Anolis sagrei: one gene and its partners. The protein of the gene in region 1 interacts with the protein of each later gene in a pairwise test. Links are inferred from orthologs where the notes say so. Each region holds a gene or a part of one and is shown in the gene's direction. Other genes may lie near its edges.

Region 1 (10,088 bases):
AGCATTAGTTCAATGCTAATGAGCAGAGCTCTTTGACTGGTGTAAGTTTAACAGCCTCAAGGCTTAATTAAACTTAAAATATATTTGCAGGGTCTCTGTTCTTTCCATTGATCTCTTATGCATGAATTTGGACGCTCGCTTGTTTCTTTTCCAAAGCACAGCTCCTCAGCAGAGAAATGTAATGCCTGAGAGGCTAATGATAGTTCCCCAACTCATTTTTATCTCCCAAGAGAACTGTTGTTCGTCTCGGTGAAACCAAAATTAAATGGCCATTTCCTTAATGTTGTCAGAGAAGGGGATTGGCTCCATTACATGGACCAGCGGGTATTAAGCAGTATATGGAAATGTAGTCCTAGAGTGCATTTAGACTGTAGTCTGATAGCACTCAAACTGCTATGACTCAATGGTATGAAATCCTAGGAGTTGTAATTTAGTGAGACACCAGTATTATTTGGCAGGCAGGACTAAAAATCCTTTAAAACTGCTACACCTATAGCACTGAGTCATAGCAGTAAAAGTGAGGTAAACTGCATTCATTCTACAATGTAGATGCTGCCTTTAAAAGAACTTTTGGCCCATGGCCACATTTAGCTGATGGATAACTACTGGTTGATATTCTACAGACCAACATGGAGTTGGATCTGGGAAATCAACCCCATATCAGACATGTAGCTCTTGGGCAGATCACCTCTGCTTCATAGGGTTGCTAGAAGGATGAAACACAGCACAGAGATCTAAGAATTCAATATCAAGAATTTGAAAAAGTCAGTTTGATAACCCTTACCAGATGCTTCATAGGTGGCACAAGGAGAGTCAATATATAATCAAACACTCGTTTCATTTAAAGCCTTGAATTAGGAATAGTGGTTCCTTAGCACCCTATGCAGCTTATCCTTTCAGATTTTTGTGTCTGTCCAATTCTCCAATATTTCAACTTCAGAATGTGGAGTTGTGATTGCTCTATAGTACTGTGTCTTAAATTATCAGTTTCAACCCCAAATGGCTCAACACAAAAATATAACAAGAGAAAAAGGTTTCTGAACACCACCCGTTTACATAAATCTCTTCGCAACAATATGCAGTGTTTACAGTTGACTCTGCAGAAAATGCTTCTGCTGTATCCATAAAAAGGAAAATCAGCCTGTTTAGCAAGCCTTACAAATGCTGATTTGCTATCAGTAAATGTTCGATATTTATATCTGTTATGTTTTATCTACCTATATACCCACAGTCACACAAAAAGTGGTCACAAGTTATAATGAGAGTTGTAGTTTAATGAGGCACCTGCATTCTTTGGCAGATCAGTCCAAACATCATATAAAACCATGACTCCCACAATTCCACAGCATTGGGATATGGCAGTTAATGTGGTATTGAACTACCTTAATTCTAAAGTTTAGATGCACCCTAGGATAAATATGTAGGATCACACCAAAAGAAAAATTTTGAAAAACACATTTTGTAAACCACATTTTACAGTTGCCATTTCCGTTGTATGCTTTGCATTTTAGACTGCATCATTTGGGTTGTATGCGTGTTTGTTCCTACTCCTATTTACATAAAATACATAAATATGTAAAACTACAAACCTATGCAAAATAGGTGTTGACTCCACTGTTATTACTGCATCAAAGTGAGCCCAGACAGCACACCTGGCTGGAAACACTTTCCTAGAAGAAAAACAGCCAAAATGAAACATTCCTTTCATCAAACCAACAAAACGAAAGGTAATAGCATCACACTGTTCAATAGAAGAGTAAGTAAAAGAGATAAAAAAGAAAAAGAAAAAAAAAGGGGGGGGGGGGAATCAAAGCATTACAGTATTGGCATTATTTGTTTTTACCAACAGTTTAAATATTTCTTTCTCAAATCAAAATTTCTGTCTTGACTTTTCTTAAGACTATAAGAATAGGAATCATAGATTAAAACATAGTGTGTGTGGGGGGGGGGGGGGGGGGGAGTTGTACTGTACAATGTGAAGTCCTCATGACATATTGTCATTCTGTTGGGAGAACCATCCAAGATAGATCCACCCTCTGATGCCAAAGGTGCATCTACACTGTAAAAATTGATGCAGTTTGACACTACTTCAACTGCCATGTCTCAGTGCTGAATATCAAGCAAAAAGTGGGTGCTAGAAATAATATCATACGAAAGCTGACTGGCACAACCTGGGGATCACCACCAGACACAGTGGTAGAAGAAGATAAACACGCACTGGCAGATAAACTATGCTGCTGAGTACGCATGCCCAGTGTGGAACACATCTCACCATGCAAAAACAGTGGATGTGGCTCTTAATGAGACATGCCACATTATCACAGGATATCTACACCCCACACCACTGGATAAATTATACTGTTTAGCCAGTATTGCACCACTTGACATCCGCCGAGAAGTAGCAGCCAATAATGAAAGGACCAAGGCAGTGACATATTCGACCCATGCTCTGTTTGGATATCACACAGCACACCAATGCTTTAAATCAAGAAATGTTTTCTAAGATCTACAGAGATACTCACAGGAACACCTCAGCAAGTGAGAGTCCAAAAGTGGCAGGCTAAAACCTGAAACCTCAACTCATTGCTGATACCAAATGGGAGACTCCCCCCCCCCCCCCGGGCACACAGAAAAATGGGTGACTTGGAAAGCACTGAACAGACTGCGCTCTGGCACCACGAGATGCAGAGCCAACCTTAAGAAATGGGGCCACACAGTGGAGCCCATGACATGCAAGTGTGGAGAAGAGCAAACCACAGACCACTGATCACAATGCAGCCTGAGCCCTGCCACATGCTCAATAGAGGACCTCCTTATAGCAACACCAGAGGCATTCCAGAGGCATTCCAAGTGGCCAGCTCCTGGTCAAAGGACATTTAATATTTGCCAAGTTTTAAAACTTTGTGTGTGTGTTTTTTAAAATACATTACAGTTGTACCCTTGGTTTGCTTCTGATATGATAAATAAATAGTGCTATTGAATCTTGGGAGTTGTAGTTTTACAATGTCATTGGCACTCTCTGCCAAAGAATGCCGGTGTAATGGTAAAAAAATGCAAGGATAACACCGAGTCTTCTAAAGTGGAAAAAAAACCACAGGATTTTATTTATAGCTTAAAAGAAAACAGCAGCAAACAGTGCTAAAAACAATGCGATATAGGATTTAACACTTTAAAAAGACATTTTACAACCCATTCCAAAGCGTATTTACTCGAGGCCAATGGATTTTGCAGTGGGTCTTATGATGTAATTTGATGAAGCACACTCTTCAGCAGAGAAGGCTGCAAGTGTTATAGAAGTGGGTTGTTGTAGGTTTTTTCGGGCTATAGGGCCATGTTCTAGAGGCATTTTTCCCTGACATTTCGCCTGCATCTATGGCAAGCATCCTCAGAGGTAGTGAGGTCTATTGGAACTAGGAAAGTGGGTTTATATATCTGTGGAAAGACCCGGTGGGGCAAAGAACTCTTGTCTGTTGGAGCTAGGTGTGAATGTTTCAACTGACCATCTTGATTAGCATTTGATGGCCTGGCAGTGGCTGGGGAAATCTTTTGTTGAGAGGTGATTAGGTGTGCCTGATTGTTTCCCATCTGTCATAGAAGTCTCCAAAATAGCAGAGTATTTAACAATGCAAAACGGGATACTTAACTGAGCAGTTAGCTCACAGCAATCAGAAGGTGCAGTGTTGTGGCTGTAAAAGAATTCTTGAGCTATGGAGGCAAAGATGCAAAGTTCAGTCCCTAAACTTGGGCCCTCCTGGTGTTTTGGACTTCAACTCCTACAATTCCTAAAAGCCTCAGGACCTCCCCCCCCCCCCCCCTTATCTGCTTAATTTGAGGCTGTTTGGAATTGTGGGAGTTTAAGTCCAAAATACCAGGAGGGCCCAAGTTTGCCCAGGCCTGGCCTAGCCTAATGCTATCTAGTTGCTTCTCATTGCCGATCCATCTCAGAGCCCAATTCAAAGTGCTGGTCTTGACCTATAAAGCTCTATACGGTTCTGGCCCAGTTTACTTGTCCGAACGCATCCACCCCTACGTCCCACCTCGTAATCCGAACGCATCCACCCCTATGTCCCACCTCGTGATCTAAGATCATCCGGGGAGGCCCTGCTCTCGCTCCCGTCACCAGTGCAAATGCGTCTGGCAGGGATGAGAGACAGGGCCTTCTCGGCTGTGGCCCCCCACCTATGGAACACACTCCCAAATGAGGTAAGATCCGCTCCCTCCCTCCTGGCTTTTAGAAAAAAAAATTAAAATCATGGTTTTGGGACCAGGCCTTCGGGCAGCAGAAGTAAATGTATGCAGCATTTCAGGAAGACAATGACTGGAATGGCGATTTGACGAACAAGACTGTTTATTGTTTTAATGATTGTTTTATTGCTTATGGATGTATGGTTTTAATTTGATTTATGTTTTGTAGTGTATAATTGTAATTGTTTGTACTGGCATTGAATTTTGCCATTACTTATGTGTAAATCGCTTTGAGTCCCCCTCGGGGTGAGAAAGGCGGTATACAAATACTGTAAACAAACAAACAAACAAATAAATAAATTGAGGACTGCAGACTTGAGCAGTGTGTGGTTGAATTCAAACAGAAAGACCTTGTAAAATTATAACTCCCACGCTCCCATGGTAGTTCAAAGTGGCACCAAGGTGCATTCATTCTGCAAGGTTGGGACGTCGGCCAAGCCATGGCAATTGGGAATGAGGGCTTGCACAAGAGTGGCGGCCTCCCACCCAAGCGAGAGCCAGCGCCGACCCTGCTTAGCTTTCGAGGCGCCTGTGCGTCCCTCAGCGCCGGAGGCCACGCCCCCTACCTGACCACGCCCCCTGACCCTGCCGGCCACTCTCGGCGTCCCATTCCCCTCAGCGGCGTCGCGGCGTGACGTCAGACGTCTCGACGTAACCCCTCTCCTCAGGGCTGCAGCGACAACAACAAGGAAGTGATTGAGCGAGGAGAGCCGTCCCTGCCGCCGCCGCCGAAAGCAGGAGTTGCCGGAACCGTCGCCGTGCCAGCCCGCCTTTTCCCTCCGCGCCTTTCTCGACGCCGCCACCATGAACAGCAAAGGTAAGCCAGGCAGGCCCCTTGCCCTTCCAACCCCACCCAGTCCCCGCTCACCTTTCGCAAGGGCGCTGTCCCTTTAAGGCTGGCGCCGCAGTCCCGTTATCTGCGGGCCTTGGACGTAACGGGCGGGAGCCCTGGCCAATGAGAGGCCTCGGGAAGCCGGGGTGAGGGGGTGGGGGGAAGGGCGGGTGTTCGGTTGCTATGACGCAACGCCTCTGCTCAGGACAGTTAACCCTTCCAGTGTGAGGGCCTTCCTGGCCTCGCTTCCTGGGGATCCCGAGGCACCGTCACGACTCAGGGGGTTGACTGAAGGCAGAGCGGATGCCTGCCCTCATTCTACAATTCAAGTCCGCCTGAAAGCTTTGGATGTGGATGAAGGGAGGAGGACTGAGGTTGGGGCCTTGAAAAGGGAAGAGGAGGATCCCGAAACTGCCTCTGTTCCCACCAAATGTAGATGGAGCTCAGTAGGGGCTTGTATTTCAGAGGAAGGAACGGGCAAAATCACCTCTTTAGTATCCCTTGCCTCAGGAAACACTATGACATAAACAGGGATTGCCATAAGACAGTGGTTTTCAACCTGGGGTCCCCAGATGTTTTTGGCCTACAACTCCCAGAAATCCTAACAGCTGGTAAACTAGCTGGGATTTCTGGGAGTTGTGGGCCAAAAACATCTGGGGACCCCAGGTTGAAAACCACTGCCATAAGACAACAGGCAAGGCGCTTGAAGGCACACAAACGCATAGGAAATAAAGCAAAACATAATAGCCTGCAAGGCCTCAGCCATAGGAAAAATGGAGAATGGGGGTTATGATCACAAAACTATCCTGTCCAGACTTATATCAGAAAATCCCAAATCTGTAATGATTTAGGCCAGTGGTTCTCAACCTGTGGGTCCCCAGATGCTTTGGCCTTCAGGTCCCAGAAATTGCAACAGCTGGTAAACTGGCTGGGATTTCCCCAAGTGTTGTGGCCTACAACTCTCAGAAACCCCAGCCAGTTTACCAGCTGTTAGGATTTCTGGGAGCTGAAGGCGAAAACACCTGGGGACCCACAGGTTGAGAACTCTTGATTTAGGCTCCTTCTACACTGCCGTCTGTTATCCAGATTATCTGCTTTGGACTGGATTATATGGCAGTGTAGACTCATATAGTCCAGTTCAAGGCAGATAATATGTATTCTCTGATTTAAGAATCTGGATTATATGGCAGTGTAGAAGGACCCTTACTCTACCAAGCAATCCCCTATCCCAGCGTTTCTCAACCTGGGGGTCGGGACCCTGGGGGGGGTTGTCAGAGGGGTCACCGAAGACCATCAGAAAACACAGTATTTTCTGTTGATCATGGGGGTTCTGTGTGGGAAGTTTGGCCCATTTCTATCGTCTGTGGGGTTCAGAATGCTTTTTGATTGTAGGTGAACAATAAATCCCAGCAAGCACAACTCCTAAATGTCAAGGTCTATTTTCCCTAAATCCACCAGTGTTCACATTTGGGCATATTGAGTATTCATGCCAAGTTTGGTCCAGATCCATTATTGTTTGAGTCAATAGTGCTATCTGGATGTTGGTGAACTACAACTCAAGGTCCATGCCCACCAAACCCTTCCAGTATTTTCTGTTGGTCATGGGAGTTCTGTGTACCAAGTTTGGTTCAATTCAATCATTGGTGGAGTTCAGAATGCTCTTTGATTGTAGCTCAACTAAAATTCCCAGAAACTACAACTCCCAAATGACAAAATCAGTCCCTGCCCCTCAAGCCCACCATTATTCAAATTTGGGTGTATCGGGTATTTGTGCCAAATTTGGTGCAGTGAATGTAGATATATCCTGCATATTAGATGTTTATGTGACGATTCATAACAGTAGCAAAATGACAGTTATGAAGTAGCAACGAAAATAATTTTATGGTTGGGGGTCACCACCACATGAGGAACTGTATTAAGGGGTCGTGGCATTAGGAAGGTTGAGAACCACCTACCTATTGTAATTTTGACTCATAGTTAAGAAACATATGAAGCAACAGGAAGTGAGAGAAATTTACCCCCAGGAAGGGAAATTCACTACAGGGGGAAAAGGTGTCCCCACTAAAGTTTTATCGCTGATCCTTGTTTCCACCACAACCCTATATTTTCAAAATCCAATTGACAGGGGTAGAAAATTAGGTGAAATCTTCCAAACAAGGGCACAGACAGCAAAACAAATCTTTCAGGAGTGTTAACCTTTATGCAAACCAAAACATATATATGCATGTATTTCTTTAAGTGGCTGGAGTTACAGTTTAAAAATGCACCTGTTCCTACTTAAAGACTAATTCAACTTACAAACTTACAGAACCTATATTGTCTGCAACTTGGGGACTGCCTGAATGTGATTCTAACCTATATGACATCACAAATCCAAAGAGATGGAACCTATGTGATAATGGGTGTTGTAGACTATATCCTGCCACTGAATGCCTAAACCAGGGGTCCTCAAACTTTTTAAACAGAGGGCCAGGTCACAGTCCCTCAAACTGTTGGAGGGACGGATTATAATTTGAAAAAAAATATGAATAAATTCCTATGCACACTGCACATATCTTATTTGTAGTGCAAAAACCACTTAAAAATACAATAATTAAAATGAAGAACAGTTTTAACACATATAAATTTATTAGTATTTCAATGGGAAGTGAGGCCCTGCTTTTGGCTGATGTGATAGGGATGTTGTTGTGTGCTTTCAAGTTGTTACAGACTTAGGTTGACCCTGAGTGAGGGCCAGGTAAATGACCTTGGAGGGCCGCATCTGGCCACCGGGCCTTAGTTTGAGGTTCCCTGGCCTAAACAATCAGTCTTACTATCACAAGAATATATCTGTCTGCTTTTGAAAAATCCACAAAAAATCTTGCTGCATTTGTACATCCCTATACTTTAAAGTTTAAAATACTATAGACAAAAAGGGGTCTCTCAAAATGACTTAGGTTACTGATAGTCTCTTGTAAAGCAGATAGCATGCATTGTCACAACCAGCCCTACACAGCAAAAATGCCTTTTAAGTCGCCCCTTAGAAGGTAATAAATGGGCTGCCTCATGTGATTTCATTTCAACAGCCACTGATATGCTTTCTTGTTTTTGTACCTCCCATAAGGAATTTGTTTCAATGTTGAGTTGACCTTCTCTAGCTAGGGAGCTGCTTAAACATAAGATTATTTCATCCTCTTTAAAATACACTATCAGCCTGATTGTTTGAACTCCATATCTAAACAAATTGTTTGAACTGCTCTAAATACTTTCTGAGCAGACGTCTTATCAATAGGAGGGTAGTGTAGCGTTTACTACTGAATTTAAACATAGCTTGCTATAAGGTGGATCTACACTGTAGAATTAATGGTTTGACACCACTTTAAATACCATGACGAAGTGTTATGGAATCATGGGAGTTGTAGTTTTATAAGGCCTTTAGCCTTCTTTGCCACAAAGTGCTGGTGCCCACCATACTATATATCCCATGTCCAATAGTATTGAGCCATGGCAAACTGCATTAATTCTACAATGTAGATGTACCCATAGTTGAGGCACAGGGAAGAGAGTTAATTAGGCCGCTATCCTGTATATATGTTCATCAAGTGATAAATCCCACTGAATTATAACTTACCTCTGGGAGGGATATATTGGATTGTGCTGTTAGATTTCGGTTGTTTTGCATGCTTCACTTTGAAATTAGCAGGTTAATGGAAGAAAAATAGATTTGGTATCTGACCATAGTAACAAGCAATTATTTTCTTTCTGACTTATTTATATTCCCCACGAGATGGCACTCTCCAGTTTTTAAAAAGTAACTATTGACTATCTTTGTTCTTAATGAGAGAACAGGTTTGAATGACATTGATTAAATCTCATTTCTTTTGAGTTTCAAATAGTTTCCGGCAGGTACTGAAAAGCAGATGTTTGTGGAATTTGGACCCTCCTCAAATTAGAGAGCCCTTTTCTTGAATATCTGTATTTGTTCAAGAAAAACTCCCAAAGGAGGGAGTTTCCCTGATCTCAACACTTCCTGTTTCTTCCCAGCAACTGTGCTAACACTGATTAACTTCCTTCTTTTAGGTCAATATCCTACCCAGCCTTCCTACCCAGTTCAACCTCCTGGTAATCCATCGGTGTTTCCACAGACCATACCTCTTCCTCAAGCTCCTCCTTACACTGAAGCTCCTCCTGCTTATTCAGAAGTATGTAATCTATAATCCATCCAATAGAAAAAGATAATACAATCTTTGTTGAATCTTACAGTGTCTTTTATTTCCTACAAACAGTTACAATGGTAATAAGGATAGTAATAAAATTGTGTTTCTTCCAGTAGAATATCACCTGCTAACCCACCTGGTGACATTTTGATCATGTATTTCTAAGTTCCTCTTAAAATGTTTTGATTGCAACCATATGCAGAATATTTGTGTGTTCAAATCAGAGTTTAGGTACAGAAGTGGAAGCCTCTCGTTCTCAGAGTTCACACCAAAATTTTATTTATTTATTATAAAGGATCATAATCTTGATTGCTTTTGAGAAGGACCAGCCCAGCTACTTTATAAAGTCTAAGACTGTTATTCTAGATCGGATTGCTCACTTGGGTGGGCTGATCTGTTCCTATGTCTTACAGGACACCTTATCTTTCATAGTGGTTTGGCTAATATTCGTTGTAAAGTTAACTGGCTTTAAATTATACTATAGCACAAAGCAGTCCACCTTCTGGTAATAACAGCACACCAAGAGCTCACTGTGCCTGTTCCAGCTCAGCCTTTGTCTCTGTTGACGTCTTCTGGTTCAAGATACTGATATTCCCTTTATATCAAAATCTTAGCAGCACTGCCCTTGACTGCCAGAGGTTGTCTCTTTTCTTCTGTTTCACTGCACCAACAGCACCTGCTGCTTGAGCCTACCATTTACATGCCATGGACAGCAAAGGAACTTACTTAGAATTTTAAAAAAGAAACAACCTTCAGAGGATGATCCAGCATTCTGCATCTCCCTTCCCATGGAGGCTCATCAAAGGGCAAACATA
Region 2 (10,277 bases), on another chromosome or scaffold:
GTGGAGATGAGAGTCTCCTTGCTAGACATTAAATGTGTGCCTGGTCTGTATTGTAGGACATGGTGTCTCAAGTAGTCTGGACCAAAGCTGTGTAGAGCTTTATAAGTTAACAAATCTATATAAATAAAAATGTAATGTTTGTTTGTGGGATTAACATAACTCAAAAACCACTGGACAAATTGCTGCCAAATTTGGCCACAAGACACTTACTAACCCAAGGAGTAACCATCACTAAAAAAAACATGATTTGTCATTTGAGAGTTGTAATTGCTGGGATTTATAGTTAACCTACAATCAAAGAGCATTCTGAACTCCACCGATGATGGAATTGAACCAAACGTGGCACACAGGAATCCCATGACCAACAGAAAACACTAGACAGTTTGGTGGGCATTGACCTTGAGTTTGGGAGTTGTAGTTCACCTACATCCAGAGAGCACTGCAGATTCAATTATGGATCTGGACCAAACTAGGCATGAATATTCCATATGCCCAAATATGAACACAGATGGAGTTTGGAGGAAATAGACCTTGACATTTGGGGGTTGTAGTTACTGGAATTTATAGTTCACCTATAATCAAAGAGCATGCTGAACCCCACAAACGACAGAATTGGTGCAAACTTCCCATACAGAACCCCCATGAACAACAGAAAATATTTAAGGCCATCCAGTCCAACTCCCTTCACCAGGGCAAGAAAATGTAATCAAAGCTTCCTGACAAAGAGCCATCCAGCCATAGATATTAATAGATAATATATATGATTCACACACACAGAAATATAGTATCATAGATTTGAAAGGGACCCCTAAAGAAGGACAATTATATGTTGCATGTTCCAGAGTAGGCAAACCACACAATCTCCACATCAACACTGACAAAGAAACAACACGAAATACTGTTTACCCACAAGCATAAAGAAATCACATATATAAGAAACCAACACCTTCTGATTACTTTATTTCCCAGGTCATCAGACGGTGCCACAGCAACTCGTGGCAGGGGACTTTGTAATTTCCATAACAAAGTCTGGTCAGCAGCAGTCAGTGATCTTCTATGTTGTGGAAGCAAATTATAATTTGAATCTTGGGGCCTTGCTGGCCCTGGTATTTTGGGAGTAGTAGTCCAGAAGGAACATCTCCTAGGTTCTGAACACAGGATCAGTTCCAGTAACCAGAAGGTATTTCAGAGTCATAGTAACAAAACCCCAACTAGATTATTCAGTTAAAATGGTTTTTTGTGATTAATTAATTCCACTCTTAACAGGTAAACAAAAGCTTAACTTATTTAACTGATGAAATCTATTTTATATGTACCTCTATCCCTAGTATCAAAGTAAACATACTGTCAACTATCCTGATCTGGCAGTGCCACTCCACATTAATCTTCTGTATTTCATTTTTTTCAACTACTTTAAAATGTCACATTTTCTTTCTCCTTCTCCTCCTTTTTTCTTTTGTTCTAGGTTTACTTCAGTTGCAGGAGAAGCTTGCATTGAGTTAATTCTACAGCAGGCAGCAGAGAAGAATGCTGCCCATTCCAGTTCACTCAGGCAAAAGCGAACAATGTATAAGTCACTCTGGTACTCTGAAGTATAAGTCCCCCCTCTCACTGTGTATAAAATATATATTGCTGGTGCAACCTCTCCTATCTTGGTGTTATTTTTTATTAATCTTTTTTTTTTGCCATCTTGACCACACACTAGAGTTGCTTGGTCATATCTCTCCTGGCTTTCAGGTGTAAAGTTGGAGGTGCGGAGTAACATTTATTTAAAGATCAGTCTTGTAATCCTGAGAAGTCAGTACCAATACAGTTGGACTTTCCCTCTAATAAATGTGTGCTTAGGAGTTCAGTCTAAAAGATGTACTGATATTTCTGACTACAAAAAAGCCACAGGCATTTAACTCTTCTATCCCTTCCTATTACAGCACTTTCCAAGCTGGACAAACAAAATCTGATTGATATGCAGGAAAACAAGACAGAAGAAATGAAAGAGAAATGGTTGATCTACATAGAATGGATAGAAAGTAGACAAACAGAATCTGATTGGTGTGTAGGAGGACAAGATGGAAGAAATGGAAGAGAAATGGTTGATGTGCATGGAATGTATAGAAAGTGAGGAAGCCAACACCAATATTGTACAAAGACTAAGAAAATTGTGTTTATGGTTAAAGATAAAAAAATAAAGAGGAAAACGTGGTAGGGATATGGGGTGTGTGGTGGACAGGGAAAAAAAGAGGAAAAAAGTGAAAAGAATTATAACATTCTAAAGAGATGAATAGATAATATAGAAATGCTCCATTATAATGTATATATGCAGTAACCATCTATTATTTATTAGTCTTGTGCATTTGTATAGAATCCCGATCCGTTTCTGTTTGTTTCATTCATAAGCCCCCCATTTGCCTTTTTGAATGGGCATTTTCATTTCGTATCCAAAAAAAAGAAAGAAAGAAAGAAAGAAAGAAAAATTTTGACCCATTGGCCACTATGGGCAAGCTTCCCCAGTCTCCCCTTTCCCTCAGTTTTAGGGCTAGTCACACATGGAGGGCACATCTACCACTTTTATCCCAGGTTTTATAATGTTTGGGTCATCTCTCAATTTTTTAGGATTTTTCTTTCTTTCTAGAAATAAAATCTCCTTAAATTTCCTTAAAAACATTCCCCACCCTCTAACTTCTCCAGGAGCAGCAGCAGGAGGGAGGCAGGGCAGGGCAGGCCACCATTCCTTCCTGCCAAACATCAAAGATGCTCCACATACCACACACACAGCCCAGTGCCCAGCCCCACTATTTCATTTTTTCTTTTATCTGGATGCAATTGGGCGGCGGCGGTGGGGGGGGGGGGAGATTCCCCTCCTCTTCCCATCATTTTTGGCAATGGCGTGATTTGTCCTTATGATCTTTCATTATGACCTGGAATTGACAACTTGGAAGTCACTGAACAGACTCAGAAGTAGAGTGGGCAGATCAAAAGACAACCTGGCAAAATGGCACGACCTAAAAGAATTCTCCAACTTGTGAGGCTGTGGAGCAGAACAGACAACTCAGCATCTGTATGCTTGTCTGCAATGTCCTGCCTCATGTACAGATGAAGAATTGTTTGAGGCAATGTGGTTGCTGTTGTCCATTTTGGTCAAAAGATATTTATCCATTTGTGCTCCCTCTATTTTTATCAGTTTTATACTAATTTATGAAATGCTTTTGATACAAAATAAAAACATCAGAGTTACTTAAGATACAGTACCACTGCAGAAGAGAGCTGGGTTTAAAGACAAGACTTAAGATACTACTATTGCTGTGGTGCTTTCCCCTCGGTCTGCATAAGAGAACTGGTTTAAACACAGGGCTTAAGATACCACTATTTCTGTGCTAATCTTAAAGTAAAACTAGCAACCGATTCTTCTGCACAATCTTGCTAAATTACAAGGGAGGTAAGTGGCTGAAAACCACAGATATGTACAACTTCCCTCGCCCTTTGACTAATCCTTCCTCTGAGCAAACTTGAACATTTGCTCTGTTGGAAGACATGGGGATTTCCTTGATAAAAGCTGAACGCAGCAGCATTGACGCAGACTGAGGCCATTCTTCAAGTACAACAAGTGGTGGAGGGGCTTTTAGTGATGGCTCTAAATAAAACATTTAAATATCAGGGCTTTGCGGGCCATTTCTGTGTAATAAACATGCATTTGTGTTCATCCTGTGTCAATTTTAAACTGCTGTGATCCACATATTAAGACAAGTTTGCTTGCCAACACTTGTACAATCCTTGAATGCTATGAATCTCCACTACTATTACTTGTTGCTACTTTTGGAAGCACATGCTTCCTGGCCACAGCTTAGAGGGCATCATCTATGATGGTGAGAAAGTGTTCAACATCCAAAGTGGCATTGCAAGAATATCTTTCCCACAATCGTTGCAGTGTTACAGTATCTATCAGGTTTTTTATCAGGTTGTGTAGGCATAGTTGCATACTGGTGTAGTGGTAATGCTAGATATGGCACACTATGAAATATTTGCAAGCCATCATGTCATCTAAACTCAGGTTGCCATATTCCAGCACTTCAAATTGGGGCCATCCATTTGAATGCAATGTAAAATTCTGCTAATTATGTACCTCTCAGCAAATCTAGCTCACAAAATTGTTGTGGAGATTATTTGTTGGAGAAGAACCATGTGAAGTATATTCACAGGGGCAGCTCAACCCATTACGCAAAGTAAGCATTTGCAGTATAGTTGATTTTGCCCAGGGGCGCTCTTGAGATGCTCTTGGGGGAAAATAGACCTTGACATATGCGAGTTGTAGTTACTGGGATTTATAGTTCACCTACAATCAAAGAGCATTCTGAACTCCACCAATGATGGAATTCAACCAAATATGGCACACAGAACTCTCACGACGAACAGAAAATATATATCAATGATTGGTTGGGGGGCGGGGGTGGTGCCAAAATACAGTTTGCTTACTGTTGAAAATTACCTAGGGCTGCCTCTGTATATTCATAATGTGAAAAATACCAACCATGTTTTGTCATGGACAGACACTTGTAATGGACTGTATTGTCCATTATTTTTGTATTTTTGTTTTTCCCTTCAGTTTTCTTACTGATGCCCAAAAGTCATGGATGCATGAACATATCAGAAGACTTCACAACTTCAGAGGATGCCTGCCATAGATGCAGGTGAAACGTCAGGAGAGAATGCTTCCAGAACATGGCCTTACATTCCGAAAAACCCTCAACAACCCAGTTATTCTGGCCATGAAATCCTTCGACAATACATATCAGAATAAGTTCCTAAATGTGGGTCATGCTGCCCCACAGGCCATCTCTTGCATCTTGCGATCACTTGCTGCACCTTCTGCCTTCCCTTCTGCCATCTCCATCATCTTCTCTTCTTTGCAACCACAACTCAAAGTCTCTTTTTTCCCTTTCCACTTCATCTGGGCAGGAGATGGATTGGGCCCATGTCACTGCTGTTGTGCCCTCCAGAGGATCAGATGAGCTCTGTATGAATTTCTGGTCAATGCAGGCACTACCTGCTTGCATCAGCAAAGGTGCCTGCATAACCAGAAAGAAGGACAGGGATGAAGGACAGCAACATGAATGGTAAGGTGATGGTCCAGCAGGGCTGATGCAATCTCTGGACTCGGACCAGACTGGTTCTGCTACAGACTGGTTCTGGATTAACTGGCCAGTGTAGATGAGGCTTGAACAGCATTTCTTTATTCACATTTTCTAAAGAAACCAACCATCAACTAAAATGTATTTAATTAGCAGTTAGCCCTAATAGTCTTGGGAAGACAACTAGACTGTTCCATTTCCTGTTCCAGCTGTTAACTCTCTTCTAAGATCAGATGTGCAAACAGATGTGTCTGGGATGGCGTAAGATTCTATCCTGACAGAGAATGCCATATATGCAACATATAATGTTAATGAGCTTAAACAATTATTTTACAGTTTTATAAGCGATGGAATGCCTGCTATATCCTTTTTAATACCCCAGACACTTGTAAATGTGGAACTCTCGTGGTGTCCAAAGCATGACGAAGACCCTCTTTAAAATAAATGATAGCAAAATAATTCATTTTAACACTTCCCTTCCACCTTGCTTTGACTGTGTTTGTTTTTCCTGCCTGTTCCCCGGTGTCTAAGTACTCAGTTGCTTCATAATTTTATGAGTACATATCCAAGCATAACATCTCTTTATCCAACAGAAATCAGAGCCTCAGATCAAAAATTATTCAGTGTTTATACTCTTCTCAAGTAAAAACAAGAAATCAGCCTCAGCCTTTCCTAATATAAATACAAAGAATGAAATATTTTGATCATTAAAGGAGAAAGAGGGAGAAATAAATGTAACATTTACTCTGATTTTAGACACAGGTGGGTTAAAACACCAAGTGGATCCCACTGGATTAATATGGATTGTGACTAAATCCCCTTGCATTAGAAGGACATAAAGAGAATCCAGCAAAGTACATTTATGCAATTTTTAAAAAATTCTCCTGAGTTTTTCAATGCTTTAATTTTTTTTAAAGTTTGTATTTGTCTTCTTTTATACAGATACAGTAGATAGCTAGATAACAATGCTATAACACTATGGTAGTTTTATCATTAATTTCTAGATTTCCAATAAAATTTTCCTACTTCAGTTTTATTTTATAGGTTTCGTTTAAAAAAAATTAAAAAGTTTGCATGCTGTTTTTAAGCTTGGAAGTAATTTATTTATCATATTTTTTTATTTGTCATATTAGAAGCGAACTGAGGGTACAGTTGTGATAATTTTAAAAAACACAAAGTTTAAAAAACTTAGCATTATACTACATTTCTTTTGACCAGTAGCCGGCTATTTTGAGTGCTTCTGGTGTTGCTATAAGAAGGTCCTCCATTGTGCATGTGGCAGGGCTTAGACTGAATTGTAGTAGGTGGTCTGTGGTTTGCTCTTCTCCACACTCGCATGTCGTGGACTCCACTTTATGGAGTAGTTTTTTAATTTATGTGCTTAGTTGTGTTTGCTCATTACTTTTTCCTATTACTTTCTCATTACTTGGGGCTTTTCACCATTTTAATGCTTTTAGACAGATTTTCCTTAAAAATATCAATGGTAAATAATAAGCATTGTATCAACTAGAATGATAAACTGCCAAGAGATCAAGATTAGCAGTAGTAAACTCTTTGTTGTTGTTGTTACCTGTCTTCAAGTTGACTTTGACTTATGGCAACCCTATGAATGAAAGACTTCTCTTATCTTCAATAGATCTGCTTAGATTTCCTTGACTAGGAATGGATCTACACTGCCATATAATGCAGTTTCAGAATGCAGATTAACTACATTGAAACTGATTATATGGCAGTATAGACTCATACAATCCACTTCAATGCAATTAATCTGCATTCTGAAACCACATTATATGGAAGTGTAAATCCAGCTTTAGTCAAACCTTCTGGAATATATGGTCTCCTCTTTTCCTACTTCTATCTAAAAAGGTAAAGTTTTTTCCCTGACATTAAGTCCAGTCGTATCTGACTCTGGGGTGCAGTGCTCATCTCCATTTCTAAGCTGAAGAGTCAGCATTGTCCGTAGACATCTCCAAGATCATGTGGCCGGCATGACTGCATGGAGCGCCATTACCTTCCTGCTGGAGCGATACTTCTATCTACCTTACCATTATTGTTTTTTTTTTTAAAAAAAATAGAGTAATGTATTTTCATTACAACAGCTTCCGTTAAGTCATCTTGACTTCTAGGGAGGTTTCAGGCTTGATTTGCTCTAGGATCCATTTATTTGTATTTCTAGGTGCAAATATTACTTCAGACGCAGACTGCAGCCAGGAAATCAGAAGACGTTTACTTCTTGGGAGGAGAGGAATGAACAATCTTGATAAAATAGTGAACAGACACCACACTGGCAACGAAGATTTGCATAGTTAAAACAATGGTATTCTTGGTAGTAACCTATGAATGTGCAAGCTGGACCATAAGGAAGGCTAAGCAAAGGAAGATAGATGTTTTTGAACTGTGGTATTGGAGGAAAATTCTGAGAGTGCCTTGGACCGCGAGAAGATCAAACCAGTCCATACTCCAGGAAATAATGCCTGGCTGCTCACTTGAGGGAAGGATATTAGAGGCAAAGTACTTTGGCCACATAATGAGAAGACAGGAAAGTTTGGATAAGATGCTAGGGGAAAATGAAATGACTGGCTTGACCTTGAAGGAGCTGGAAGTGTCCATGGCCAACAGGGAGCTTTGATGTGGGCTGGTCCATGAGGTCATGAAGAGTCAGAAGCAACTGAACGAATAAACAACAAACCAATTATTAGTCTTTTCAAAACTAGTTATGCAATCATCAACTCTCCTGTAATTTATATCTTTTTATGCTATGATTTTAGCTCTATTTTGTGAATTGCCCTAGATATCCACTGAGAGATGAGGCAGAAATAATACATTTAAAATACATTTTGCTAACCAGACTAGTACTAATGGGAAAGATCCTGTGAACATTTCCTCTTTCAGGATCCCTGTAGGATGTTGATATGGATGTGAGGGAAAATGAAATTAGTACACCCATGTTATTATGACATTCAGTTACTGCTCCTTCTAACTGATATCTTCTATAGATATTTGAGAGTCACCAGAAGTAGGATCAGCTATCCTAAAACTAGAGATTCACCTTTTTAAAAAAGTAGTCCTTTGACATGTGTTGAATACTGGTTTGAGGTGACTTTGTAATGATTTTATGGGATGGTAGGTGCTTCTCTTCATGGCCAGGGAGCTTCAGACTCAAACCTCATGTGATAATGCCCTTAGTCTACTTCACGAGTTACATCTGAATAGTGCTTGTTAAAAATAAATGCAAACTCCCCACCCAGTTTAACTATGAAAATCTTCTGCAAAGGCTTACATCCAAACGTTTCCTGTTCAAATTGTTAAATGGCTTGGAAACGTTTTAAATTTCTTTAAAAGGAAGATAGAGGACATCTTGTGTTGATTGCTTATGCTGAGAAATGGGGAACAGGTCATATCCTTTTTCCTGAATAATGAATCTCTTGATAGATAGATTTCAAGTGTACAGACACACACATACACAAATGTGTTTGGAGTTCTTTTAACACTCCCAAAGAGAAATCTTGTAAACTAACTAATGTTAAAAAATTGGTCTGTAGATGTGTATTGGGAGGTTTTAGTTCAAGTTCTAAACAATAACAAATGTCTGTGTCATTTTACAATTTTCCACTCTTCCTTTTTTTTTGTACGTTAAATACATTGGCAGTTAAAAGCACAATCCAATACATGTCTACTTAGGAGTAAATCTACTGAGCTTAATGAGATTTACTCTAACAAGAGGGTATAGGATTGCAGCCTGGCCATTTACAAGTCACTGGGGGATCATGTGTTGTAAGCTGTTGTCTTCGAATTATATTAAATTTTCTCTAGCTCATTTCCTTATTATTCCCCAATGGAAATCCCTAAACAAGTAAATCCTTAGTGGACAATAAACCAATTTGGATGGCAGGAATCCAGTTTTTCATTTGCCTTCCTACGTTGCTTGGTTATATACCAGAAGCAGTGTAGCACTTTATTGTCCCAATTAGTTTGCTCTCAGTCACAAAATGTAGAATTGAAAGAAAAGACACACAGAATAGAAAAAAAGAAGTTGCCAAGATACCAGTGAATTCTTGTGAACCATCATGGTCCTATTTTCTCCTACCACCCCCTCATTTTGTGGATAGAGGATTCCCCTTTTCAGTCTTTCTCTTGAAGTTGTTTCCACTTCCTCCTGACTTGTTTGCTCAGTAGGGTGGTCTATTTTGTTTTGCTGTGAGGGAAAGGTCATTGGTTTCACAATGAGCAAACACTTACAGGTAGCATGGAACAATAGGGTATGACCCTTAAAATCATTGAGTAAGAAATAAAATAAAACTGGATAGCTTGATCGAAGCAGATTGGCATTTTCCTTTTGTTCTTCCTTTCTTTTATAAATGTTACAGGTGGGTGGGGCAATTCTATACGTTGTCTCACAAAAGCTAAAGATGCATCCAGTTCCCCCAAGTTTCATTTTTTGTAATTAAAAATTGCATTTTCTTTGTGTTGTCAAAGGCTTTCATGGCTGGAATCACTGGGTTGTTGTGTATTTTCCAGGCTGTATGGCTATGTTCCAGAAGTATTCTCTCCTGATGTTTCAACTGCATCTATGGCAGGCATCCTCAGAGGTTGTGAGGTCTGTTGGAAACTAGGAAAATAATAATAATAATAATAATAATAATAATAATAATAATAATATATTTATATTCCGTCCTTCTCACTGGATCACAGTATACATGCACGACAAACATTCAATGTTGCTTTGTATAGACAATACACAGACAGACAGAACCGAAGGAGGTGGTTTGTTTTGACTCAGTGTCCAGCTGTTTTTTGCGCCATGGAAGGTTGGGCTTGAGTTCAGGACATGCTGTTGCTCTATCCTCTATGACGAAGAGCCATCAGGACTTCTTCCTTCCTTTTGATTGCCCAGAATTCTCTGATCTTTTTTCTTTATGGCGTCATAAAACACCCCCCCCCCCCCAGCTTTTGGCGGTATCTAATTTCTCTAATCACAGCTAAAGCTATTTTCAAATTCCTTAGGTAAACAATGAGCTAGGCTGACAGTTGGCAACTCACGCCAACCCAGGGCTTCGAACTTGCAACATTTTGGTTGATAGACCTTATAATTGCTGATGATTTAACAGCTGTGCTAAACCTTTATATATCTGTGGAGTATCCAGGGTGAGAGAA
Region 3 (10,163 bases), on another chromosome or scaffold:
GTGGGAGTTGAAGTCCAAAACACTTGGAGGGCTGAAGTTTGCTCATGCCTGCTCTAGCCCATGCTCAGTCAGATTCAATTCGAGCTTTCCTCCAACGTCACTCTAGTCTCCACCTCGCTTGCTTCATCACCACCTAAGTGTAGTATCTACATTTCTCCTTGTTGAAACTCATTTTGTTAATTTACGATGCCATAAAAATCTCCAGCAAGCATGTAAAGAATGAGGAAGTACTTCAACAGTGTCACAAAAAGTGACAGCTCCCCTGGTGGCTAGAATACCCTCATGAAAGCTGGAATGTTAAATAGCCCCTGTGTGTCTGTCTATATATGTTCTGTGTCTATGGCATTGTATGTTTGCCATGTATATGTACATTGTAATCTGCCCTGCGGGGTGAGCAGAATATAAATACTGTAAATAATACATTAATTAATTTGGGCCCAGCAAGCTAATTACTTAAGGTCACTTTTAATACTGATGATGTTTCTTCTCTTCATTTTTTGTTACCTTTTATTTCTCTGCATTGGTTACTATAGTAGTTCTTGGTTATTACAATCTGATGGACAAGTTGTTAGATAGCTGACTCTAGCACTATTTCTACCACAGTTCATTTTTTTGCTTCTTCTTCTGTGTCCATAACCTCTAAAAGAATTTCACCTGTTATCCAGTGAGGCCTCTTTTTGCCTGCAGAAAATGTCTTTTTGCATCCTCCAAGGTAAAGTCAATGGCTTTTTGTTTCATTTTGGATTGTCCCATTACAAGATTGTCATGGTAAACGACATTCAAAATGGGTTTACTGTGCCTCCTTCTGTGCATTACTACCTCGTATGAGCAATGATACCACTTCCATTGTCTCTGAGACATCCTCCACCAATGCCATACCCCACTCCTTCTGATAACAATTAACTCTCTCGCACATTTAGCCTGACTGCTTAGCAAAAGCCTATCTGACACAGGAGACCCTACTAGCAGCACTGCTGTCATCGGCATAGCTTCTTGCTTTACAGGAGCATGCAATCCTCCCACAACCAAAGACAAATAGTGCCATGGTGAGGAAATCAGTATATATGCCCTAATCCTAACCTGTAGTTAAACATTACCTCCATCCAACCAATTCAAGCTGCTTTGGAAACCACTTGAAGTTATACAATAATGTTCCCTGGTCCAGTTATCTGAATGCCTAGCCAGATCTGAAGAAGTTGTGTGTGAGAGGATAAAGGATATGTGAAGGACAGCAGTCTAGTGATATATGATCAAACACAATGAGCTCTGCATAAATCAGATGTTCTCATCTACTTTGTCATCTGACTATTCTTTTACATTTTTACACATAGTTTTTGGATAGCAAGCAACATGCAAAACACACTTCTTTCTACAAGACATGCTAATGATAAATCATGCATATGCATTTGTATATGAAAAATGTGCTGCTTCTCTCTTCTTTTATTTGCATCTCTTTCATAATATCAATCACAATATTTTTCACATACATATATGAAATTATTTCTATAATTTCCCAAGGCAACACAGCCTTCCTGTCCAGCCAGTTTCCATTAAGACAAAGCACTCTGGTGTCAGGAGAATACCACTCTTTGGGAAAAGGAAAATCTAATAAGAGGATTCTTATTTAGCCAACACTACCAGATAGCATGCCTCTGCATATGAGTTTCTGGGGCACTTCAGCTGATTGGGTGCTATGTGATTGGAATCCTGGACTAAATAGACTGATTTGACCTTTAGTGACCGAAGCATAAGCACTTAAAAGATTTTGATGTCCCTACATAAATCTAATTCAAAATGTAAACAATGATAAACTGTAAACTAAAATTTTAAATTTAAATGAAATTAAATGAAACAAAACTTACAGTAAAATAATTATACATTTTGTATCCTTTCACTTTATATTTAAAAGCTTTTCTCCTACTTGTTATAATTGCAGTCTTTTTATTGTCGAGGCCCCTTTTGGTGGAATCTTGTTCAGCTGCATCATTTGCAGTTTTGCACTGTATGGTGACCCATGGTAAACCTGGCAATGCAAAGTTTGTATGGTATCCCCTTACCTTGATGCCTTGCTTCATTTGCTTAATGGTTAGCCCTAACATTACCTATGTTTGGAGCCGGTCTGGCATAGTAAAGTGAACTACAGGATTCTGAACACCAGGGTTCAAATGTCCACTCATCTTTGCAAACCCAGCATGTCACCTTAGGCAGGTCACATTCTCAGCCTCAGGTCCCTTCCACACAGCCCTATATCCCAGAATATCAAGGCAGAAAATCCCACAATATCTGCTTTGAACTGTGTTATCTGAGTCCACACTGCCACATATTCCAATTTAAAACAGAAAATATGGGATTTTATTCATCTGTGTGGAAGGGCCCCCACATTCTCTGCTTTGAACTGGGTTATCTGAGTCCATACTCAGAAAAGGTGGGATTTTCTGCCATGATACTCTGGGATACAGGGCTGTGTGGAAGGGCCCTAGGGGGCCCCTCAGTGACCTTGGGCAAGTCAAACTCTCTCAGAGCCCTTCCACACAGCCCTATATCCCAGAATATCAAGGCTGAAAATCCCAAAATATCTGCTTTGAACTGGGTTATCTGAATCCACACTGCCATATATTCCAGTTCAAAGCAGATAATGTGGGATATTTTTCAGCTGTGAGGAAGGGGCCCCAGCTTCGGCAGAAACCTCATCTGGGCAAATTTTCCCATGAAATCCCATAATCTCTGTTACTTGGGAGCGCACAACAATCAATGCTTACTAAGTCAGTGGTAGGGCCATAGCTCGGGGAGGGGGGGGGGGGGGGAGGGAGGGAGTTCAACCCTGCCTTGAAATGTGTCAGGTTAAAAAAGAAACCTGGTTTGTTCATAACTTGGTTAACCAGTTAAAATTCTTGAGTAAACCAGGTTTGGCGGGGGGGGGGGGGTTGTAGTTAAAACCCTTAACACACACACACACACACAGCCCTGTGTGTGTATGTATATATATTTGACAGTGTGAACTCAGATAATCCAGTTCAAAGCACATATTGTGAATTATCTTCCTTGATATTCTGGTTTATATGGCTGCATGGAAGGACCCTAAAACAACCAACCTCCATCTATTTATCTATCTGGTGAGGATGGGCCCTAGAATAACTAAACTCCCCCCTCCCCCCTTCTCTCTCTGGGGGATGGAGTTTAGTTGTTTTAGTGCCCTTCCACACAGCCCTATAACACAGAATATCAAGGCAGATAATCCACACTGATTTGAACTGGATTACCTGAGTCCACACTGCCAGTTCAATGTGGATTTTATGCAGCTGTGTGGAAGGGGCCTAAGTTTATTTATTTATTTACAGTATTTATATCCCGCCCTTCTCACCCTGCAGGGGACACAGAGCAGATTACAATGTACATATACATGGCAAACATTCAAGGTCATAGAAACACAACATATATAGACAGACACACAGGGGCTATTTAACATTCCAGCTCTTTTATGAGGGTATTCTGGCCACCAGGGAAGCTGTCACTTCACTGTCCTTTTGTAACACTGATGAAGTACTTCCTTGTTGTATTGTCCAAGGCTTTCATGGCTGGAATCACTGGGTTGTTGTAGGTGTTTCGGGCTATATGGCCATGGTCTAGAGGCATTCTCTCCTGACGTTTCGCCTGAATCTATGGCAAGCATCCTCAGTGGTAGTGAGGTCTGTTGGAACTAGGAAAAAGGGTTTCTATATTTGTGGAATGACCAGGGTGGGGCAAAGGACTCTTGTCTGCTGGAGCTAGGTGTGAATGTTTCAAAGAGTCCTTTGTCCCACCCTGGTCATTCCACAAATATAGAAACCCTTTTTCCTAGTTCCAACAGACCTCACTATCTCTGAGGATGCGTGCCAAAGATGCAGGCGAAACAACAGGAGAGAATGCCTCTAGACCAGGGGTCCTCAAACTTTTTAAACAAAGGGCCAGGTCACAGTCTTTCAAACTGTTGGAGGGCCGGATCATAATTTGAAAAAAAACAAACAAACACACACACACACACACATGAATGAATTCATTTATTTTTAAACACTGCACATATCTTATTGGTTGTGTAAAAAACACTTTAAACAATACAATAATTAACATGAATAACAATTTTAACAAATATGAAGTTATTAGTACTTCAATGGGAAGTGTGGACCTGCTTTTGCTGATGAGCTAGGGTTGTTGTGTGCTTTCAAGTCATTTCAGACTTAGGTTGACCCTGTGCGAGGGCTGAGTAAATGACCTTGGAGGGCTGCACCCGGCCCCCGGGCCTTAGTTTGAGGACCCCTGCTCTAGACCATGGCCATATAGCCCGAAAAAACCTACAACAACCCAATACTTCCTCATTCTTTGCATGCTTGCTAGAGATTTTTATGGTGTCCTAAATTAGCCTCCCCCGCATAAGCGGTACCTAAATATCCTACTTGACAGATACAACTGTCTTTTGGGCTGCAAAGGTCGACAGCAAGCTACACAAATTGGTCGGAAGCTCACTCTGACCTGGGCTGGCTTTTGGTCAGTAGTGATTTTAATGAAGCTGACGCCCAGCCAGCTGCGCCAAAGTCCCAGTTGCTAGGAATGAAGGTGGGAATATTATAAAGTCATTTTTGTATTGGATTAGTTTATTATGTTTGTTTGTTTGTTTACTTTGGTGTCTACGTTTATTTTATGTTTGTGTGAAAAAATAATAAAGGGGGGGGGGTGATAATCCCCAAGGTCTGCAAACCCTGAGTAGGGGAAGCGTAGCCTCCTCAGACTCCCACCCTGGAGTTGGCATCCGCCCTTGGATCCGAACAGGAACAGCACGTCTAGGGGCCGCGTTGTGCTTCCAGCCGGGCTCCATCCCTGACATCATCTCCTTGACGCCGGAATGCCTCCTTCCGCGCTGCCGGACTAATCGCATTTCTGGCTCTGCTTTGTCTGCCTCCCAGGCGCTCTCTCTCTCTCTTCTCTCTCTCTCCTTTGGGTCGCCTGTTGACGCCTATTTCCTCGCTGGCCTTCCTTCCCCCGTCCCTCCTGGCTGGCTTTTTTCACCTAATCTCCACCCCCAGATCCGCCCTTCCCGTAAACCACCCCTCTCTTCCTTTTGCTTTCCTCTTGAGCCAAACAGAGGGAAGTGGAAAGCAACGAAGCGGAGCAGCAATTCGAACAAGGTAATAACTACAAACTGATGGGGTGCCCACTCTGGGGAAGGCTTTCCATAGTTGTTGTTTCCAAAATAAGGCTGAGACCCTACAACGGGGGTTTCTTGGCAATGTTTGTCTACAGGGGGAATGCTGAAAGAATTGTCGAAGGTCACTCGGAGGGTTTGATGGCCGAGGTGTCTCTAGAGCCAAAAACACGCTTTTCCCCCACTCCTCCCTTACGAGTTCAGCCAGCTAATGGATGCATCTACACTTCTGAATTAATGCAGTTTGACACCACCTGAATTGCCATGGCTGAGTGCTATAGAATCTTGGGGTTTACATGATGTGGTCATTCAGGAGATACATCAGATATGTCTGATCTTTATCGAATGCTGTGCTCCTGGGACTTGTTTTGCAAAGTCTTTTGGCCTCCTCTAGTAGAATCATAGAGTTGGAAGAGACCTCCTGGGCCATCCAGTCCAACCCCATTCTGCCAAGAAGCAGGGAAATTTCATTCAAAGCACTCCCGACACATGGCCCATCCAGCCTCTGTTTAAAAGCTTCCAAAGCAGGAGCCTCCACCACACTCCAGGGCAGAGAGTTCCACTGCTGAACAGCTCTCACAGTCAGGAAGTTCTTCCTAATGTCTAAGTGGAATCTCCTTTCCTGTAGTTTGAAGCCATTGTTCCGCATCCTAGTCTCCAGGGAAGCAGAAAACATGCTTGCTCCATCCTCCCTACGACTTCCTCACATCATCAGTGCCATGCAACCTTTGACCCTCCAGATGTTGTTGACCCTCCTCTAAGCCTTCTCTTCTGCAGGCTAAACATGCCCAGCTCTTTAAGCCGCTCCTCATAGGGCTTGTTCTCCAGACCCTTGATCGTTTTAGACACCCTCCTCTGGACACATTTCAGCTTGTCAATAGCTCTCTTCAATTGTAGTGCCTCACCAAACTGCAAATCACAGGATTCCATAGCATTGGGCCAGGGTATCGAACTGTATTCAATCTACAGTGTAATTGTTGCACCTTGTGGTCATAGATGCCTACGTAGCACAATATTCTCAGAGGGAGAAAGGTGTTTGTGTGGAAAGTAAACAGAAACCGAACTCTCTGAGTGCTTTCGATTTCTCAACCCCCCCCCCCCTGTTTCCCCCTCCCTGCTTTAGTCTAGATTTTAAAAACAAGAGGAGCTTCCGCCTTCATTCACGACCAGGTGAGACCCTTTCCCATTTTCCCTCTGTCCATCCGGTGGGCTACTTCCTAACCTGGGCTTTCCACCTCTCCATTTAGTTAGAATGCATCTACCTTGTTGAATGGAAGCGGCTCAATTGCTCTGGCTCAAGGCAATCTATGGGCGTTGTCGCTTTGCAAGGCATGCACTGCACTGTAAGATGAATGCACCACTTTAAGTGCCATAATGTGAGGGAGTCTTGGGAGTTGTAGTTTGGTGAAGCACCAGCCCTCTTTAACAGAGAAACTTACAGAACTTGTAAAACTGAGACTCCCCAGATATCACCATCGAGCCAGGTCACCTAAAGTGGTGTCAAACTGCATTGATTCTACAGTATAGATCAGTGCCATGCAACCTTTGACCCTCCAGCTGTTGTTGACATGCTGAAAGGTGTCCAGAGGAGCGTGACTAAAATGATTCAAGAGTCTTTTCACTTCTCCATTTACTTAGAAGGAACCTATCTTGTTGAATGGCTCAATTGCTCTAGCTCAAGGCTATGTATGGGCATTGTAACTTTGCAAGGCATGCACTGTAGGATGAATGCACCACTTTAACTGTCACGATGTGAGGGAATCTTGAGAGTTGTAGTTTGGTGAGGCACCAGCCCTCGAGAAAATTACAGAGCTTGTGAAACTACCAATCCCTGGGTGTCATATCGTTGAACCAGAGCAGCTAAAGTGTCAAACTACAATATCAATCAGTGCCATCCAACTTTTGGCCCTCCAGGTGTTGTTGACAAGCTGAAAGGTGTCCAGATGAGGGCAACTAAAATAATCAAGGGTCTGGAGAACAAGCCCTATGAGGAACGGCTTAAAGAGCTGGGCATGTTTAGCCGTCAGAACATAAGGCAGAGAGGAGACATTATGGCCATGTATAAATATGTGAAGGAAGTCATAGGGAGAAGGAAACAAGCTTGTTTTCTGCTGCTCTGGAGACTAAGGCACCGAACAATGGCTCCAAAGTACAAGAAAGGAGATTCCACCTGAACATTAAGAACTTCCTGACTGTGAGAGCTGTTCAGCAGTGGAACTCTCAGCCCTGAAGTGTGGTGGAGGCTCCTTTTCTGGAGGCTTTTAAACAGAGGCTGGATGGCTGTCAGGGGTGCTTTGAATGCGATTTTCCTGCTTCTTGGCAGAATGGGGTTGGACTGAATGGCCCATGAGGTCTCTTCCAACTATGATTTTTTTTACCATTATATGGGCCCAGGCTGGCTCACCTAATGGTAAAAAATTCTGCGAGCAGAGGTCCAAAACACCCGGAAGATCAAAGATTGGACTCCACTCATGTAGATTAATAATTCCCAAACACCTCCAGGTGTTTTTGGACTTAGAACTCCAAGACGCTTGTGAGCCAGTGATCAGGGATTCTGGAAGCTGAAGTCCAAAAATACCTAGAAGACCAAAGTTTGTGAAATACTAGTGTAGAAGCTCCCAAGGTCTTAATACTTTTTGGCCAGAGAGTGTTTGTTGGTGCCTCACCCAAATACAGCTTACAGACTGTCATAGCATTGAGCCTTGGCAGCTAAAATGATGTCATTGCTTTAATACAGCAGTGTAGAATCATAGAGTTGGAAGAGACCTCATGAGCCATCCTGTCCAACCCCCTGTCAACAAGCAGAAAAATAGCATTCAAAGCACCCCTGACAGATGGCCATCCAGCCTCTGTTTAAAAGCCTCCAAAGAAGGAGCCTCCACCACATTCCAGGGCAGAGAGTTCCACTGCTGAACAGCTCTCACAGTTAGGAAGTTCTTCCTAATGCTCAGGTGGAATATCCTTTCCTGTAGTTTGAAGCCATTTTTCCATGTCCTTGTTTCCAGGGCAGCAAAAAACAAGCTTGCTCCCTCCTCCCTATTTATACATGGCCATCGTGTCCCCTCTTAGCCTTCTCTTCTGCAGGCTAAACATGCCAGCTCTTTAAGCCACTCCTCATGGGGCTTGTTCTCCAGACTCTTGATCATTTTAGTCACCCTTCTCTGGACACATTCCAGCTTGTCAACATCTTTCTTCAATTGCATTGCCCAGAATTGGACACAGTATTCCAGGTGTGGTCTGATGAAGGCAGAATAGAGGGGTAGCATGATGCAGTGTAGATGCAGCCCTTGTAAAATTACAACTCACATGATTCCATAGTCTTGAGCCACAGTTCAACTGTTGTCTAGCTGCTTCAGTTCAATAGGGTAGATGTACCCATCGGTGGTTGGGCTTCTATCAGCCAATTCTTCATCTGTCCAAAGCAAGGACTGTCCTTCTACCCAAAAGAGTTTGTGGTTGAAGAGCTTGCACAGGTACATCTCTATGTGTTCCTTTTTGAAAGTGTTAAGGAGCAAGGACAATGAACAAGATTATTCTACATGTCCCCCCACCCTCACCTTATGAATTCAAATATAGATTGAGTAACCCTTATTTGGAAATCAGAAATGCTCCAAAATCATCCACATGGGTAAGGGTGGTTTGAAAAGGGATGCAAAGTTGGGTTAATAAAACTATATAACAAATTTGAAAAAAAAGTTCCTCATTTGAAAGTTTTATTTCCTGTTTAATTGTGTGGAACTCACTTTGAAAGTAGTTGTTATACTCTGGAAACGTTGTTTTTGTGACTGCCACAAACTGTTGAATTGACAGAGACTCTATGAGATCGCAATTGAAAAAACATAGCAAAATATGCTGCAGGATGTCCCACAAAAACAAACTTTTTTGCAAATTGATAAACTTTTTCCATGGTTTTATGATAGAACCAATTAGGAAATGTCATTTATAACCCAGGAATAAACACTGTGTTACATAATGTACTAAATGGCAATACACACCCAAGAAGAGTAAAGTTCAATAAGGAAAGGGACAGCATCAACTTTTGACGTACTTCTGATTGTTCCTTGGTTCGTTGCACAATACAGGAAATATAAATTCTACTTCCTTATTGGTTGCTATTTATCATAGACTGGAAGAGTTACCTTGTTGGATTATCACTCCCCAAAATACCCAGCCAGCATGGCTATTTTGACACATTTTTCTTTTCTTTTTAGAAGTTAGATGTACAAAATATACAAAATAACAAAAATAATATGGGGCAATTTTATACCTCCCTGCTACTTGTAGATACTCATTCAGCTACAACCTACAATGTTGCAAAGTTTGTGCAGCAGTATACAAAATCCGTCAGAGGATGACTGGTCCAAAAGTTAACTCTGTGTCCAGTAATCATCTTCCACATTGTATGTTTTAACCGTGTTTCCCCTTTTGCTCCCTCACCCCCTATTGTGCTTCAGTATTTATATTTACATTTTAAGTGTACTAAACATACCAAGTTCATATTGAATTCTGACTTTTATTTCCTGTGCTAGTCTATGACTGAAATAAATGATTTGATTTGAGAAATAATATATACAAAAGCAACACATTTTCCTGAAACTTCGGGGAGAAATCAATGCCATCTAGTCATTTAAAAATATTCCATAAGAACACTGATCTTGGAAATATCCCAGATTTTACAATATTCTACCATTCTCAATACAAGATAATATCATATAGAAAGTCCTAAGTGGTTCAAGACCCAAGTATTTAAAGTAATGCTTGTTTCAGTACTGATCTGTTGCTTAAACTGTTACATCATGTAGATTACATTATAGTGAATACAAAAAAAAACTATCAAGCAATTTTTCATATTCTTCTACAAAGACTGCAGGATGTGAAACAATGTGAATTGTTTACATAGAGATTACAATCACTTTCTCTGCTGTTGAGTTGGCTCTTTCTTAAAAAGCAGTTTGACTTGAATAAATTTCAGCACTGTGAAATTGAT

Evidence for each region. The genes of interacting proteins can lie anywhere in the genome.
Region 2: the proteins of DAZAP2 (region 1) and TNIP3 interact in binary tests that used the Homo sapiens proteins (3 or more experiments, as listed by UniProt). The two-hybrid records come from large-scale screens. The link is inferred for Anolis sagrei from reciprocal best matches to the Homo sapiens genes DAZAP2 and TNIP3.
Region 3: the proteins of DAZAP2 (region 1) and phospholipid scramblase 2-like interact in binary tests that used the Homo sapiens proteins (3 or more experiments, as listed by UniProt). The two-hybrid records come from large-scale screens. The link is inferred for Anolis sagrei from reciprocal best matches to the Homo sapiens genes DAZAP2 and PLSCR1.

What each region holds. Positions count from the first base shown.
Region 1 is NC_090022.1:192,268,886-192,278,973, forward strand, and holds the start of DAZAP2 (DAZ-associated protein 2), read left to right. Parts: upstream 1-4,866; 5' UTR 4,867-5,049; coding exon 5,050-5,062; intron 5,063-9,136; coding exon 9,137-9,258; intron 9,259-10,088. UniProt on the Homo sapiens protein: In unstressed cells, promotes SIAH1-mediated polyubiquitination and degradation of the serine/threonine-protein kinase HIPK2, probably by acting as a loading factor that potentiates complex formation between HIPK2 and ubiquitin ligase SIAH1.
Region 2 is NC_090025.1:36,191,671-36,201,947, reverse strand, and holds the start of TNIP3 (TNFAIP3-interacting protein 3), read left to right. Parts: upstream 1-5,086; coding exon 5,087-5,113; intron 5,114-10,277. UniProt on the Homo sapiens protein: Binds to zinc finger protein TNFAIP3 and inhibits NF-kappa-B activation induced by tumor necrosis factor, Toll-like receptor 4 (TLR4), interleukin-1 and 12-O-tetradecanoylphorbol-13-acetate.
Region 3 is NC_090023.1:239,099,364-239,109,526, reverse strand, and holds the start of phospholipid scramblase 2-like, read left to right. Parts: upstream 1-4,972; 5' UTR 4,973-5,159; intron 5,160-10,163. UniProt on the Homo sapiens protein: Catalyzes calcium-induced ATP-independent rapid bidirectional and non-specific movement of phospholipids (lipid scrambling or lipid flip-flop) between the inner and outer leaflet of the plasma membrane resulting in collapse of the phospholipid asymmetry which leads to phosphatidylserine externalization on the cell surface.